3 linked regions of the Drosophila melanogaster genome follow. The protein of the gene in region 2 purifies or fractionates together with the protein of the main gene of each other region. This does not show direct contact. Each region holds a gene or a part of one and is shown on either strand. Other genes may lie near its edges. The genes, in order: rin, orb and CkIIbeta.

Region 1 (5,057 bases), 9.6 Mb from region 2:
AGCGGGCGTTAGGTTGGTATGTATGCCTGTATGCAGCCGCCATTTTGGGTACAAAACTGGAAGAGCACAAAATAACAACGAAATAGCCGAAACAAAGAGTAATGCGAATTAAAAAGAATACACTGACAAATACAAACATAACTTTTTCCAACGTTTTTTTTCGCCACATTTTTTGCAAGTGAAAGGCAACCGTATGATTTGTGTTCGTATGCGTCACAGTGTGTCTGTGGGGCAACGTGGGAAACAAACATAACCTCACAAAGGGGAGAAAATGTGCTCCTAGCTTAAGAAAACTCTGGTTTTCATTGCGGAAAGTGCGTGTGTGTGCAGGGGAAAACGTTGAAAATTTTCCATGTCTCCCGAGACTGTGATGATGCATTTTGGCCCGAAGATTCTATTAATATGACTGAAGTACAGTCGCACCGACACCTCACACACACACACTTAAACACACTCCGACGCACGAGCGCAAGCGAGAGAGAACACAAAAGGGGTCAGACTTCCCCCGCAGAACCCCGTAAAATCCAATGAAACTCGACCAACGACGTTAGCTTTGCATTTACGTAACAGAGTAGGCAATATACACTATGTAGAAGCAGAAAATCTATGGGGGGCACATGATCATCGGTTGCCCGTTGCAAAAATAAAAAAGAACAAAAAAAAAACGTATCCGCCGGATAATGGACATACCTGTCGTCGTCCCGCTGGCCGGATGCGGCCGATTGGTTGTCCGAACTGCCGTTGGTCGAGCCGGCGGCGCCCGCATCACCATTTTCAGATCCCGGACCGTCGGCAGTCACGTCCTTGGTGAAATCCTCGCCGTTTATTTCTGTATCCACTTGCTTGTTCTCGGCCATTTTGTGTGTTTTCGACTGATCTACTAATTTCGGGGGCTAGGCAGCACGATATTCGTTTTTTACGCAGAGCCGGAGATTTTTATACACACTCGCCAAAAAGTCGCGCGTACGAATGAAATGACGACCGGAAAATGATAAATGCAAACGACAGCGTGTGTATATGGGTGCGGCGTTGCCACCTTGATGTTTTCCCAGTCAAGTCGATTTGGTATTATTTTGGTAAATATTTGTATTGTATTTGCTTGCTCTACCTGGAGATTGTTAGCTATACATTTGCCAAGGATTAAATTGGGATTTTCTGTACGATACCACCCCAAATAAGCCTATATAAGGAGCTAAATGGGCGCGTGACTTGTCTGCTTGCAGTATGGCAGCTTTGATTTATACAATGTACACACACCTATGAAGAGAAAATGAAAAGAATACCAAAAATTTTATACAAATATTTTAAAGCCCAGTTTACACAATGGACAAGTTACTTGGTTTATAAATTCATTTTAGTTGTATTAAAGGTTTAAATATTTAAATAAATATTAAGTATTTCATAAACATTTATAATTTTATAAATATAAAAAATACAATGTTCATTATTTACTATGTGTTGGGAACGAAAACAACATTTACATACAAAGAATTGTTTAAAATCGAATTTTCATATTAACTTCTTATAGGCTGAAACATCAACAATATTTTAAATCATTTAATTGGTTTATATTAAATATTTTTATTTTTTGCAAAAATTTATACAATTTTCATATTCGGATTTCCCAACAGGTTATAATATAACGTTATTATGGTTTTTATTTATTTGCTATATAAAATGTTTCCTTTAAAGAAAGGTGTTTCATGAGCTTACTCAAAAAATCGGAAATGGCTAAAATGAAAATAAGTTTTATAAAACTATTTAAAAGAAACTTAGCGCCCCTAAAATGAGCTTAATTGAGCTCAAATATGAAAATATCAAATTCATCAAAATATTCTATGGAACATACTAGATTAACCACCCCAAAAAAAGAAGTGTGTGCACACCCTTGGAAAAGCCGCCATCATTCACACACCAACACACGCGAAACCAAGAATAAAACTGTGCAGAGGCAAAAAAGAGGAAAAGAGGAACGAACGTCGGTTCTCTTCTCGATTCAACACACTTGTCCAATTTCATTGCGTTTGCGATTATTTTCTACTCAAAAGCCACAACATATGCATCGTAACTTAATTCAACAACAACTGTGATCGCCAAACATCAGAAAGCAACAAAAAATACACGTCAAGAATTGCCAAGTTAGTTATTCTCAAAAAAAAAGACAAAAAGAATTGCAACAAACTAGACTAGTGTGTGTGTGTGAGCGAGTGAGTGCATTGGTGTGTGTGGCTGTGTGTTTTGTGTGCAGCTTGCAATTTTATACTGCATTTCATACGTTTCGACTATCGTTTTGTAAATTAAAAAAACCGCATAATTTCAGCGCTCCACTAAGAAATCCAACTCTCCCCGCCCCCCGCAGGAAGATAACAAAGAAAAGTGCTACAAAAAGTGCCGATTTTTCGGCAAACTTCAACCCAAAAGCAATACACACTGTGCATTACAAAAAGGAAAAATAAAAACGAGGAAAAATATCGCTTAAAAAAGGTGAGCCGGCGACGGCCTCGTGTGCGCGGTCTAGAAAAACTAGCATTTTCCATTTTCAAAGGGGTGGCGCATACTAGGAAAAAATCAACATAAAAAATGCTAAATGGGCGTATATTTTATTATTGCGGCAGGGCTCTATCTCTTAAATTTTTTTTTTTACCATTTTAGCGGCTTTTTTTATTATCGCTTGTGCATAACCTAAAAATGTACGAAAAATTTTGTTTTTGTACATTTTTGTTTAAATGCTGCTCTTCAACTATAGCTTTCTTTGTTCTTCCTACACACGCGGTTCGCAAGCAGAAATAGAGTGGGAAAGAGAGAACCCGAAAGAGCGGCGCGTTCATAACCGAATATGTGTGCGTGTGGGTTTGCCGCAACTCATTGTGCATTTTTTGTTTTATCGGCAAATGTTTATGGCTAAAATGGGGCAAAGGACACCTGCAAACATTGATATTTACTTACACCTTTTAACGCTATTTCAAGTGTTTTTGCAAGGCAGCAATTTGATATTTTGGCCAAGCTGGAGTTCATTGTATGCGGCGCCACAACCTTGAGACCCGAACATAACCTCAATTTAATTCATGCTCCTCGCTTGGCGGCTTCTTTTTTTTCTTTGCCAAATTGTATGAGGTCATTTACTCGCGCACACACACACACGTGCAAAGTTCAGTCAGCCAGGATCGCAGGCATAAAAGCTGGAGCACGTGCAGGGTTAAATGTCCTGCGACGGCAAGCAAATTGGAATTTTTCCTGACAGCTGCACTACACCAAATTTCCCCTTTTCGCATGTGCAAATGTGTGTGGGCCCCAAAAGTGGGTCAAACTGCAGCGCGCTGCGTCTGTTTTATATGCACTGCGGTAAAATGAGCTCCCTGTTTTGGGTGTACAAACCTCCCCCCCTCCCCGCCGTCCTTGTGACCAAGCGAAACTCTAGATCCTTATTGGAGAGCACAGCAGGGGTCAACACTTTGGTAGTCAGTCACATTTCTCTAGAAATTTATGTAAAAGAAGCACAGATTGATTTAATGGACAGTCTGAAAATCCAATTAAATTTGTTTCTTATATTTGCGTGTTTTACCGTTATCAAGCCTTAATTCTCCAAATTAAATTTACACGTGATGAAATTAACTGATAACACAACTAGTGATTCATTATGGTTTCTATACTTTTACCGGCACAGGTATGAATAAGCCATCTTTGAACACCTTTTGGAGATTGTAAGAAACAGGGTAGCAGCTTCCTTTAATTTCAAATTATCAGATTGAAAAATCTACACAGTCGTCTAGGACTTTTGCCAACTTTTCTTTTTTTTTATTAAAAAAACCAGACAGATTTTCATAGTGCGCGTATATTTTTTGCACTATTTCGCAGACGTTCCCACACTCTCAATCGACACAGATCAGCCACCGTGTCGATAGATCCGAGCAGCAGCTAGAAAGAAGGGAAGCAGAAATTGGAAGCGGAGACAAAGAATCCGAGTCGAAGAGTCCGTAGTTCAGAGAGGAAGAATCAAACGCCAGCTATGGTCATGGATGCGACCCAATCGCAGCAGCCTTCGCCGCAATCTGTGGGACGCGAGTTTGTCCGCCAGTACTACACGCTGTTGAACAAGGCGCCCAACCACTTGCATCGCTTCTATAACCACAACTCGTCGTACATCCATGGAGAGTCCAAGCTGGTGGTCGGTCAGCGGGAGATCCACAACCGAATCCAGCAGCTGAACTTCAACGATTGCCACGCGAAGATCAGCCAGGTTGATGCCCAGGCCACTTTGGGCAACGGTGTGGTGGTTCAGGTCACCGGGGAGCTATCCAATGATGGCCAGCCGATGCGGCGTTTTACCCAGACGTTCGTTCTGGCCGCTCAGTCGCCGAAGAAGTACTACGTGCACAACGACATCTTCCGCTATCAGGATCTCTACATCGAGGACGAGCAGGATGGCGAGTCGCGATCGGAGAACGATGAGGAGCACGATGTGCAGGTCGTCGGTGGCACTGTGGATCAAGCTGTGCAGGTGGCCGGCGATGTAGTTGCCCAGCAGCCGCAGCAACAGCAGGCTCCTCCGCAGCCACAGGCTCAGGTCGTGGTGCCCCAGCAGGTAGCTCCTGTAGCGGCCGGTGGTGCTGCCCCACAGCAGATCTTCTACCCATTGCCAGCGGGTGCTGCCGCCGGACGTCCTGTGGCTGTTTTGCCACCAGCTCCGCAAGCCGCTGCTGTTCCACTGCCCGCGCAGTTCACCGTTCCGCCGCCACAGCCCATCCAGAACGGTGTGGTGTCGCACGAGGAGCTGCAGCAGCAGCAGGTGCTGGTCCCACCCAGCGTGTCTCCCCTGGTACAGCAGCAGCAGCCGACCGGCACGCCTGTGTTGCCCATTGTTCCAGTGCCAAGCGCGGGCTTCCAACAGTCGCCACTGGTGGCACCACAGCTCATCCAGCAGCAGCAGCAGCAGCAACCGGCACAGCTGCCCCCGCAGCAGCAGCAGCAGCAGCAACCTATCCAGCAGCAGCAGCCTTTGCAACAGCAGCAACAACCGCTGGCTGAGCCCGAGGAAGTGGAGGTGGCGCCAAGGCAGC
Region 2 (5,215 bases):
GGTATAGACACTGCTTACACGACGAAATTGACATTTTGCATTTAGTTATTCAGTTGGGTCTATATTTTGATCTTTTTTTTCTACCATTTTGCTGCCGCCGCTGGCAGCCACAATAAAATGAGAAGAAAAATTGCATAATAACCCCTTTGAAATCGTCGGATTATCCTTAAATATTTGTGTAAACATTGTAACAAATGCGCAGCTCCATTGTCAGCCAACTCGGGCCATGGATGCAGCACAGAACCAACCTCCATCCTTCATCCTCCACCTCTGTTTCCATCTCCGCCTCTTTGAAAGCCATCCCCAATCCATTGACGTAGTCAAGGCGGCTTTTCCTCAACCCCTGTGCGTCGTCTGTCGTCAAATGCCTGAATGATGAGCAATAGACGGGTCCGGGTCTCCTGTCACAGTCGACAATGAGCAACTTTTTCCAAAGGCGGAAGACGTGGCAAGGATACAAACGGGCCGCGTAGCCAACAATGGGACCAAGTGCTCCGCCGAGGAGGGAAAGCGTCTTAAAAAACCTGTCACACATATTGACAGTCGCTTTAGGATCGCTTAAATCAAGTCTGGGGTCGGCGGGGGCATGAGCCGAGTCGTCGGGTTGGTTAGCATGTGCGTATCAGCATAAAGGATATTGTAATCATTACATGTAATTCACATTTGGGGGTGAAGGGCAATTGCCGCAACTGACATAATTTTGATGTGTATTGATATGAAGCGGATTGTCAGGCAGGATAATTAATTTTCCAGAGGATAAAGAAAAACTCAGGAAGGGACATGTAATATTTTGAGCCATAAGAGGCTAATAGCTGTCTGCTTGTACTGTCACTGGAGTTTTAAGATTATTAGACAAACTTTTACGAATCTTTAAAGACATAAAAATCTGGATACTAATGGCAGTTGTAAAGCGTGCCCAACAACTTTAGCTCTGTTTTTTATCCGCTATTCCAATGCTTCCATTTGCTCTCTGCGCTTTTTCTGTACCGCTCAGTGTCCTAATCGAATCATCTCATTTAAGTGAATTAAAAAACATATAAAGGCGAGCAAAATTAAATCACGCAACTATTTTGCGCAACAAAGAGTACAATTAAAAGCCCACCCGGCGGCAAAAAGGACGAAAAGGAGGCGCAGTGGTGTCTGGCGCAGAAAACGCCGCAAGTTTAATCGAATTTAACTACTCATAATGTGCAACAGACGTTGGCGGATGGGGCTGTTTCAGTGGGTGGTGGGGTGGTTTGAAAAACTCTCAGAAGTGTAGGCGTAAAGTTGGGCACTAATCTTATTAGGATCATCCCGGGCCAGCCACTCACGAATCCCAATTGGGAAGATGAACTGAAAAAGCCAGCTGATGTAGAGCTCTCTCACTCGCTCGGTCGTTCTCTCTCTCCCTCTTTCTCTCTAGCCGACTTTATTCGTACGTGAGCGTTTCAATTACCGCTCTGGAGTGCGAATGGGTTTTATTATTATTTACATACCTGTTGCAGCAGGGGCATTGTTTTGAATAAAAATTCCAATTTCCACACTTGTTCACGTTGCGCTCCTTGTTCGTTCGTGCTCGTTCGCGTTCGTTCGTGTTCGGCAGGAGCAGCATCCGCCAACTGACAAAGCGGCAAAACAGATGTCACCACTTCCGCCTCTCGTACCTTCCCTTTCCCACTCCCACTGCCGGCGGAGAGCCCGTTCGCGCACCGTCTCTCTCGCCCTCTCTCTTTCACTCCTGCGCAGGCCTTTCGGTTGGAGTTCGCTGCGGTTCGAGTCCAAGTTCGTGTTGGATCTGGTTGGAGTTTGAATTGGATGCCGAGCCTCGGGCAAGGAATCTGGTTTTTGTTGTTGTTTATTGGAGCTCCACAGGATAACGCGACTGAGCGAGCGAGAGGGGCGAAGGCGAACCAAGACAGCTGGCAGATGTGGCCGTATCAGCAGCAAATAGTCATCGATTCATTCCGCCTCGTCAACGATGCAAATTTCCAAAGGCCTGAAATATCATAAGCATGAATTAATTATAAGAGTACTCTTCTTTGTAGTTTCCAAATCAGTGGAGTTTAAAGAAAACACACGCGTACGCACTTGAGCGTTAAATGCCGTAAATCGATCAAGGCGTATCCCTCTCTCTCCTACTCTCTATGACACTGTCCCGGCTAACTGTAATTAACTGTAATCCAGGGTCGTTTACTTTAAAGGGGGCTTTTATGGCCGCCAATAACACAAACTATGCATTATCCTTTCGGGTGGTAATCCTTTCGGAAGCTGTGTGTTGAGCGAACCTATTATTAGAGCCATAAATCAGCATGAAATGAGCAGTGGCAGCGAAGTTGGAGTTGTAAAATGGAGATGGAGATGGGGCCAAGCCCTGTCTCGCCCTTTCTCTACTCTCTCCATCTCACTCTCGCGCTCTGTGCGTAGAATAATGGGTAGTAAGAATAAGTGTGCACACAGAAAGAAAAATTGCTATACTTTCATGAATTGCACTGTTATTCATATTTCTTTTCAATTGATACCGGACAATCCAAAAATCTATTATTGTGCACACCTTACATTTTATTAACGAATTAAGACCCCGCGCAATTCCAGCTTCATTTCCTCTGTGTGGCCAAGGCGGCGATTGATTGCCGTAGTTTTTGGAGAGATGACGTGAGCCAAAGGCAACAGAAAAAAAAACAGGACCAACGGCACATAATAGTAGTGTGTAGTTGTAAAGTTGTAAAATACGCACGTCGAGAATGAGAGAACGAAAAATGAGCCGCTGCCCTGTTTTTCTTCACCTTCTTGTTACCAACTAATTTGAACTGCACCATTTTTCGGTCAACAATTTCTAGTGCCGGCTAACACTGATACACCAATACATACCCAGGACTCGCAAAAACACGCGGATGGCGCATAAATTCGTGTGAATTTTATTTTAATTCCGCACTTGCAATCGCATCCCGTTTCTTTTGTCGTCCACCAAGCACATTTTTACACACACTCGCACACACGCCGCCAGGAACCGTTACTTCTGCTTTGCACGCCCTTCGCCGTTTTCCGTTTCTCCTTCCGATGCTGTTTCGCCAAACTACTCACTCACGGACGCATTTTTTACTATTAAACTATTTTGATTGTTGAAAATCTTTGCGACTGTGGTATGGCACCACATTAACTCGAATTTAAAATTGAGCCTTAAATTTGAGCGGACCCTGCCGCGGCAATACAAATTAATAGAACAAACTAAATTATCATCCCGTGATATCTTTTATTTTGGAATTTTAGTCGGGATTTTTTGATATTATGGCCACGCCACGGCGTGCAACGCTGCTTAAATAACCTTTTTCGCCTGGCTCTGTCGAACCAACCGCATGCAACCGCTCTCTTGAACTTAAAAGCGCTCATTTGTTTGAAACAACTTGTGTTCGACGATTCCTCGACAAAAAAAGAAACAGTCATTAAAATTCGCACAAATGGCTGAACTATTTAAATAATTTATTTAATTTGTATTTTCATTTAAAGTTTTGGTTTTAAAATAATTTTTATATTTCCATTAATTTTATTACTTATTGGTAAAGCATTAACAGCAACCAAATTTTTTTCACTGGCGTAAACAACTGTTTCCAGTGAATGGCAACAATACAGCTGTTTTGCACAGAGTTGCCACTATGTTCAAATGAGTTATTACCAGCGGCGGAAAACTTGTATCAAATTTATAACAAAAATACAATTCTGCGTTAATAAAAATGCCCGGGGACACGGAAAACACAAGCACTGACACCACCAATGAACACATCGACCTGGCCTTGTACCGGCAGCTGGTCAAACAATTCATAGACATGGTAAGACAAAAAAACCAAAAGCCGGCAAGCAGAGCCTGAGTGCAAATTCAATTGCATTTTTAGCGTCGCTACTCCACAGCGCTTTTTTGGGCAGAAAAGGTGGCCGTGCTTGGTGGCCTGGAACCCAGGGATATTTACTACCAGGCGCAGTGCATGTACCTACTGGGGGAATACCATCGTGCTGCTCACACAATACAGCATCACAAGCTAGAGAAGAATTCACTGCCATGTTTTAACCTACTACTGGAAAGTCTCTATGCGGCCAAGGAGTTTACCGAGGCGGCCAATGTCATCCAGAATGTGGAGGTGGAAGTCATGACCACATCGCTGATCAACCAGCCCGTTGATGCAAGCAGTGGCTGCTATCTGGAAAGCAACAGTGTCTTTGGTGGCGAGGAGAATCACAGAAATGAACTGCTCTCATCCATTTACCTAATGAAGGGCAAAGTTTATGAGGCCCTGGACAATCGCGGCATGGCAATGGACTTCTATGTTCAGGCCCTTCACAAATCCATATACTGCTTTGAGGCCCTGGAGGCGCTGGTTCAACACGAAATGCTGATGGCTTGGGAAGGTGAGCATGCACCTACTTTCTGAATACAGTATAATCTCAACTTAATCATTGCAGAGTTTGAGCTAATGCATCATTTACCGCTGGCACAACAATCCAGCGAAGCTGATGCCAAGTTTATACTAAAACTTTATGAATCTCGCCTGAAGAAGTACTACGAGTTGATTTCCGCACGCAATGCTGAGGAGATGTCCCCCATTGTTAATCCTGACATACTCCAGTTTATCAAGGAATTTACAGCTCGAGTGCAGCAGAGCGGGTCGTCAGACACACAAATGCCCAAGGTGAGCGCCGTCAAGGTGCCGCTTACGCCCAGCCAGTTCATGTCGCCCGCACAGAAGTCAGTTCTCCTGATATTTCTAATATTTAGCGCATTCTTATTGAAGTTGTATCTTTAAGAGTCCTGGAAGATCTAAAGGCGCCCACATTTTCCCTACAAACTAGTCTCTCAAAGGCTTCTTCCCTCATTGATGCTTCTCACCGGTCCATGTTTGACTCATCCAGTAGGAGGCGATCGCGTGATCATGACACGGACACATTAATTCCTATCGCTGAATGTCTTGATCGGGTACAACGTAGTACTGACCTAATGGCCGCTGAGGCGGAGAAGTGTTTCTACGACTGCGACTACAAACAGTGCCTGAAAATACTCAATGAGTAAGTGAAGAACGGCGTAAAAGACTTATATTGATCAAAAATGTATTTGGTTTTGCTTATCATATATAGACTCCTTAAGGTGGATCCCTTTCATAACACTGCACTGACCATTCAGATTGCCTGTCTGGTGGAAAACGGCGACTTTAATCGGCTATTTTACGTAGCCCATAAGCTGGTGGAC
Region 3 (5,138 bases), on a different chromosome or scaffold from region 2:
GGGATTATAGCCAAGATGCATTTGTGGTCTTAACGTTTATTGGGCATATTTATTAGCAGCCCTGACCTCTCAAATATCATAATAATGATCGTACACCAGGGTTTTTAAATACCCATTAAAAAGCACGACTGTCTCAAGAGTTATTATAAATATAAGATATGTATGTGAATCTTAACCAGAAACCCTCGCTGTCTAATGTATATATATATAGGTAATAGAAAAAAACTCCTATCATAAAGTATAATAGATCTTTATCATTATAGATTACATTATATATTATATTATACAACATTATAAAGACCTCCTCTAAATTACTTACATATCTAACTTATTATGGAACTAATTTTCCGTTTAGGTGGGAGCCATTAAGAACTTCGATTTGGAGCGCATGATGGGCTGTTGGCACGTGGTTCAGTATTACGCATCCACAGAGGAACTTCCGGAGTACGCGTGCATGCGCAGTCACTTTTCCTTTTCCAAAGAGGATCAGCATGTGAGTGGCAGCAAGGACCTTTATCCCTATTACAAATTATACCTCAATACCTCAATTTAAATTAGATAACGATGAACTTTAGCTACATATTTGCGGAGGATCCGCTGCGCGAGAAGCTCGTGGGCAACATCACCTGGATGATACCCAAATTCCAAGAGCCAGGACATTGGCAGCACACGGAGGACATATGTGAGTGATGGAAATGTTTCTACAATCAAATTCAAAACGAAAATCTATTCAAAATGTAGTTGTGATACGTTTGAAGTAGTTTGGTAATTACTATGCCAAAGAGTAATTCGATCTGCCCGGGTTTAATATATGTTTTAAGCAGTATTTTCGTTTCTATATGTACCTCCTTGCAGATGAGGGCATCTACAACACATACGTTCTGGACACGGACTACGACACCTGGGGCCTGGTGATGCACTGCGCCGAGAAGAAGAAGCAACCACGTTACCTGTCCGCCCTGCTTTTGTCGCGGAAAACATCGTTGGCCGACAACGAGATCAGCTTTCTGCGCGGCAAGTTGCCGCAGGATATCGACACATCCTTTATGTTTAACATCGGGCAGGAATCGTGCGACAATCTAATGGAATCTAGTCGCGACGATCCACTGGCCTATGTTGTGAATGGACGCAAGAGAGCCAAGGAAATCTTCAAAATTATCAATAAGCCTGACGGCAGAGTGCGCGCTAGTAGCGAAGCGAGAAGCTATGAGCAAAGCGAGAAGCTGTGAGCAAAGCGAGTCGATGGCAGAGTAAGAGCTAAGCGAGAAACGAGCTACATTGCTCTCTTTTAGTTATTAATGTGAACGTGATGGATTCGGACGAGGAATTTTTTGCATCAAGCGCAACTATTAACTTTCTGTTAAAACTGTCGTCCACCCTCTTAACTGAAATAGAAATGAAAAAGGCGAATTCAATAATTTATATAAAAGGTTATTTACAGAATGGAACAAGACAAAACAAAATAACGTGTGTTTTGAAAATAAACGGTAATATAGCGCAGAATATAACAAAACAATCGTACGCCCTGAGCGAGTTGAAGCGATAAGGCCTTGCTCTCGCTTTTTCGCTTAAGCTCGCAACTCGCTTCGCTCTCACTCTGACATCTTTCGAGCGATTGCGCTTAAAATGCATGCAGTGGGTTTATCGCTCGTTCTTGTATTATTAGTCTAATCAATCAACTAAGAGAAAATATTATACGAAAACCCGATTTATTTTGTCAATAATACAAATTTAAATAAGCACTTTCAAACATTTCAAACTTTCAACATAGTGTTACCATACAACTAAACGAAATAATACCTTAAAGTAGTTGTAAGAAAATATTGCTAGCTGCAATCGGTAAATTATTTGACAAATGGCAAAACAGCCAACTAAATGCTGGTAATAAACAATATTTTAATATTTGGCTTGATTTGCTTATTTAACAAATAATTCCGCGTTTTGTTTGGTTAATTGCTTTTCCGAACCAGTGTTGCGAAACGCGCAATCCCGATTAGCCGATACATCGCTTAGCGATGACACGGCGCCACATCGATTGGCAATCGCCTGCGGACAGCGCAGGACAGCGGTAATCGATAGTCGAGATTGCATACCTGATATCATCGTCTTCGCTACAATATTTGCCTTTACCGGTTCAGCTGCAGTACAAAAGTCGATCAATTTGAGTAATTATTAACAATTTGGGTGAGTGCTGGCCACTGGAAGATAGCCGCAGCGGGAAAAATACAGAATAGCAAGTTGGTGTGCGTTGGATTGCGCTCATCGGTGTAAAGGCGTGCGTGTGTGCACGTCCCTATGTGCGCTTCGCGGTGTGCGTGTTTGCTTGTGTGCGTGTGGTGGCCCCTGTATATGTGTCTCTTTTTTTCTCAATTTCCAACAGTGTGTGCTTCTTCTTGCTGCTCGGCACATTTTGTATGAGCGCTTGTCAATTGTCACAATACGAGTATAAAAATTTATTTTTATGCCCCCCGACCACACGAATTTCAACGGTGCGATCACCGAAAACTAGTAACATTGTACAAGCAACGCGAATTAAACGGAAAACCGAAAACAAAAACCCCAAAAGGCCAATCCAACCAAAAAAAAAGAGGAGGAAAGAAGAAAAAAGCGGAAAAAGAGAGTGTGGTTTGTGCGAGCAACAAGAAGCGGAACCAAAAGGAAACGTGAAGAAAGCAGGGGGGGTGGGGTAGACAAGAAAGTGCCAAGATTCCGTTCCAAGATATTTTAACAATAAATTTCGCACGCCAGCCCAAATTACGCAAAATAATCCCCTTAATGTATGTAATAGTGCGTGAGCGTTTGTCCCAGTGTGTGTGCCATGATTGCCTGTGTGTGTGAGAGTGCGGTGTGCATGTGTGGTATGCGTGTGCAGGATAATTTGTCAGCAAAAAAAAAACGATGAAAATATGAATTAGCAACTCCATTCGCTTATCTTTGCAGCAAAATGAGCAGCTCCGAGGAAGTCTCCTGGGTCACCTGGTTCTGTGGACTTCGTGGCAATGAGTTCTTCTGCGAGGTGAGATATCATCATCATATCAGCATCAACGACGAATTACCCGCGTTCTTCGCTGTAATCGCGTTATCTAAGCGCGCGCTATAAGTGCAACAATTGCAAAGTGCAGCCCTCAATCTCTGCCTTTGCGCGCGCGTGTGTGTGTGTGTGTGTGCGTGTGTGCCGCAAGGTGGGGCAATACCGAGCCCAACTGTACACACATGTCCAGATAACACACGATATAGTGGATATATGACAGTATATTCCAGTACAGATCCTAATTGCATACGCTTTTGATTCCAGGTGGATGAGGACTACATACAGGATAAATTCAATTTAACTGGTTTAAATGAGCAGGTACCCAACTATCGGCAAGCGTTGGACATGATCTTGGACTTGGAACCGGGTAAGTTTAGAATGGGCTGTTACCCATATCCAAAATTGTAATGTATATAGCTAATGCGCCTTACCATCCACAGAGGACGAGCTCGAGGACAATCCACTGCAGTCCGACATGACCGAGCAGGCCGCCGAGATGCTCTACGGCCTCATACACGCCAGATATATACTAACAAATCGCGGCATCGCTCAAATGATCGAGAAATATCAAACTGGCGATTTCGGACATTGTCCACGTGTCTACTGTGAAAGTCAGCCCATGCTGCCATTGGGTGCGTAACCAGATCCTTGATCAATCGCTCTTACCTATAGCTAACAAACATAGTTGCGAATCTTTCTGCGCGTAATTGATTGTAATCTAAAAAAAAAAAAAAAAAACAACATATCTACGAGGAACCTCGTGCTTTTCTGCCTAGTAATTACATAGCCAGAAACTATCAACGCGATTATTGGCACAACTTCTAATTGAGTTTCCTGAATAGCATATCATTGGGGCTTTCCCATGAAATCTTACACCAAGAAAAAAACAACGCATTCTTAATAGAAATTCTACCTTAATTGTCTGGCTTGGCTTGCCCTAGTTAAAACCTTCGCAACGCTTCCCGATCTCCAATAAATTCTTACCGAAACTTCCCTAAACGTTGTTAACGATCAAATAAAGCAATGCTGAATCAAATGCATGCACAAATGCAAGATAGGGTTTCACTAAACAAGGTCCCTCAATTTCTGTGAAAATTAACTAGGCCAAAGTGGCTAGACGAGCCTTGTAAACATTTCTGCTATTAATGATAAATGATCATGATGGATATCATGTTGAGTTAAATCAGGTTAAATATGTTTGTACCAGATTTCACCGATGAATTCTGACTTTTTCTAGTTGCTAGTTGCTCTGCCAGTGGTCTAATCCTTTGATTATTATCCTCAGGTCTGTCGGACATCCCCGGCGAGGCAATGGTTAAGACCTATTGCCCCAAGTGCATTGACGTGTACACACCAAAATCGTCGCGTCACCACCATACCGATGGCGCCTATTTCGGCACTGGATTTCCACACATGCTCTTCATGGTGCATCCCGAATATCGTCCCAAGCGTCCTACTAATCAGTTTGTTCCAAGGTAAGATTTATACCCATTACTGTATATGCACATTGTTAATATGCTCTTTTGTTTTATGTGCCCGATACGACGTCAACTTGATCATCACATACATAGGCTATATGGATTTAAAATACACAGCTTAGCTTATCAAATTCAGCTGCAGGCAGCAGCCAATTTTAAAATGCCACTACGAGCGGTAAATTTAAAACTTAATAACTAGCTATTAGTATCCTTTCCACCATTTACCCCACTCTCTCATCTTTTTTTGTTGTATTTTATTTTGGAATCTAAAATTCTATATATTGACTAAAAAAAACACAACGCCACCAAGGGATCATTCAACTACTAAGCATATAAATATATTATATCTTTTTTATTTGTTTTCTCTCCCCACACATACAAAACCACCAAACCAACCACCACCACCACCACAAAAAAAAACCAAACCAAATCAAATCAAACATCCATAAAATCCGATCGACAACCTGAACCTGAATATGATTATGAATACAATCATGTCTCTGCCTGTCTGAATAAAACCAAACATAAAACCAAAATATCGATATATTATCGATCGTTCCAATCGATCGATTCTTAAAATTGGGTGTAGAAAAACTAATAAAATAAATACACCACCAACAACAACAAAT

What was found.
Region 1: the proteins of orb (region 2) and rin purify together in Drosophila melanogaster (affinity purification with mass spectrometry; 2 studies listed by BioGRID, with this or other methods). This does not show direct contact.
Region 3: the proteins of orb (region 2) and CkIIbeta purify together in Drosophila melanogaster (affinity purification with western blotting; one study listed by BioGRID). This does not show direct contact.

Annotation. Positions count from the first base shown.
Region 1 is NT_033777.3:13,645,063-13,650,119, forward strand, and holds the start of rin (rasputin), read left to right. Parts: upstream 1-1,941; 5' UTR 1,942-2,138; exon of another isoform or gene 2,139-2,207; intron 2,208-2,320; exon of another isoform or gene 2,321-2,484; intron 2,485-3,759; exon of another isoform or gene 3,760-3,855; 5' UTR 3,856-4,006; coding exon 4,007-5,057. Other genes in the region: sqd (squid), read right to left, coding at 691-857.
Region 2 is NT_033777.3:23,277,581-23,282,795, forward strand, and holds the start of orb (oo18 RNA-binding protein), read right to left. Parts: upstream 3,277-5,215; 5' UTR 2,851-3,276; intron 1,979-2,850; 5' UTR 1,497-1,978; coding exon 1,479-1,496; intron 1-1,478. Other genes in the region: Cdc16 (cell division cycle 16), read left to right, coding at 3,711-3,806, 3,870-4,380, 4,435-4,717, 4,777-5,034, 5,104-5,215.
Region 3 is NC_004354.4:11,790,503-11,795,640, forward strand, and holds the start of CkIIbeta (casein kinase II beta subunit), read left to right. Parts: upstream 1-2,030; 5' UTR 2,031-2,184; intron 2,185-2,211; exon of another isoform or gene 2,212-2,243; intron 2,244-2,376; exon of another isoform or gene 2,377-2,777; intron 2,778-2,940; 5' UTR 2,941-2,944; coding exon 2,945-3,016; intron 3,017-3,295; coding exon 3,296-3,398; intron 3,399-3,471; coding exon 3,472-3,663; intron 3,664-4,316; coding exon 4,317-4,506; intron 4,507-4,602; coding exon 4,603-4,684; intron 4,685-5,098; coding exon of another isoform or gene 5,099-5,107; exon of another isoform or gene 5,108-5,138. Other genes in the region: karl, read left to right, coding at 356-493, 559-682, 856-1,229. UniProt on the Drosophila melanogaster protein: Participates in Wnt signaling. Plays a complex role in regulating the basal catalytic activity of the alpha subunit.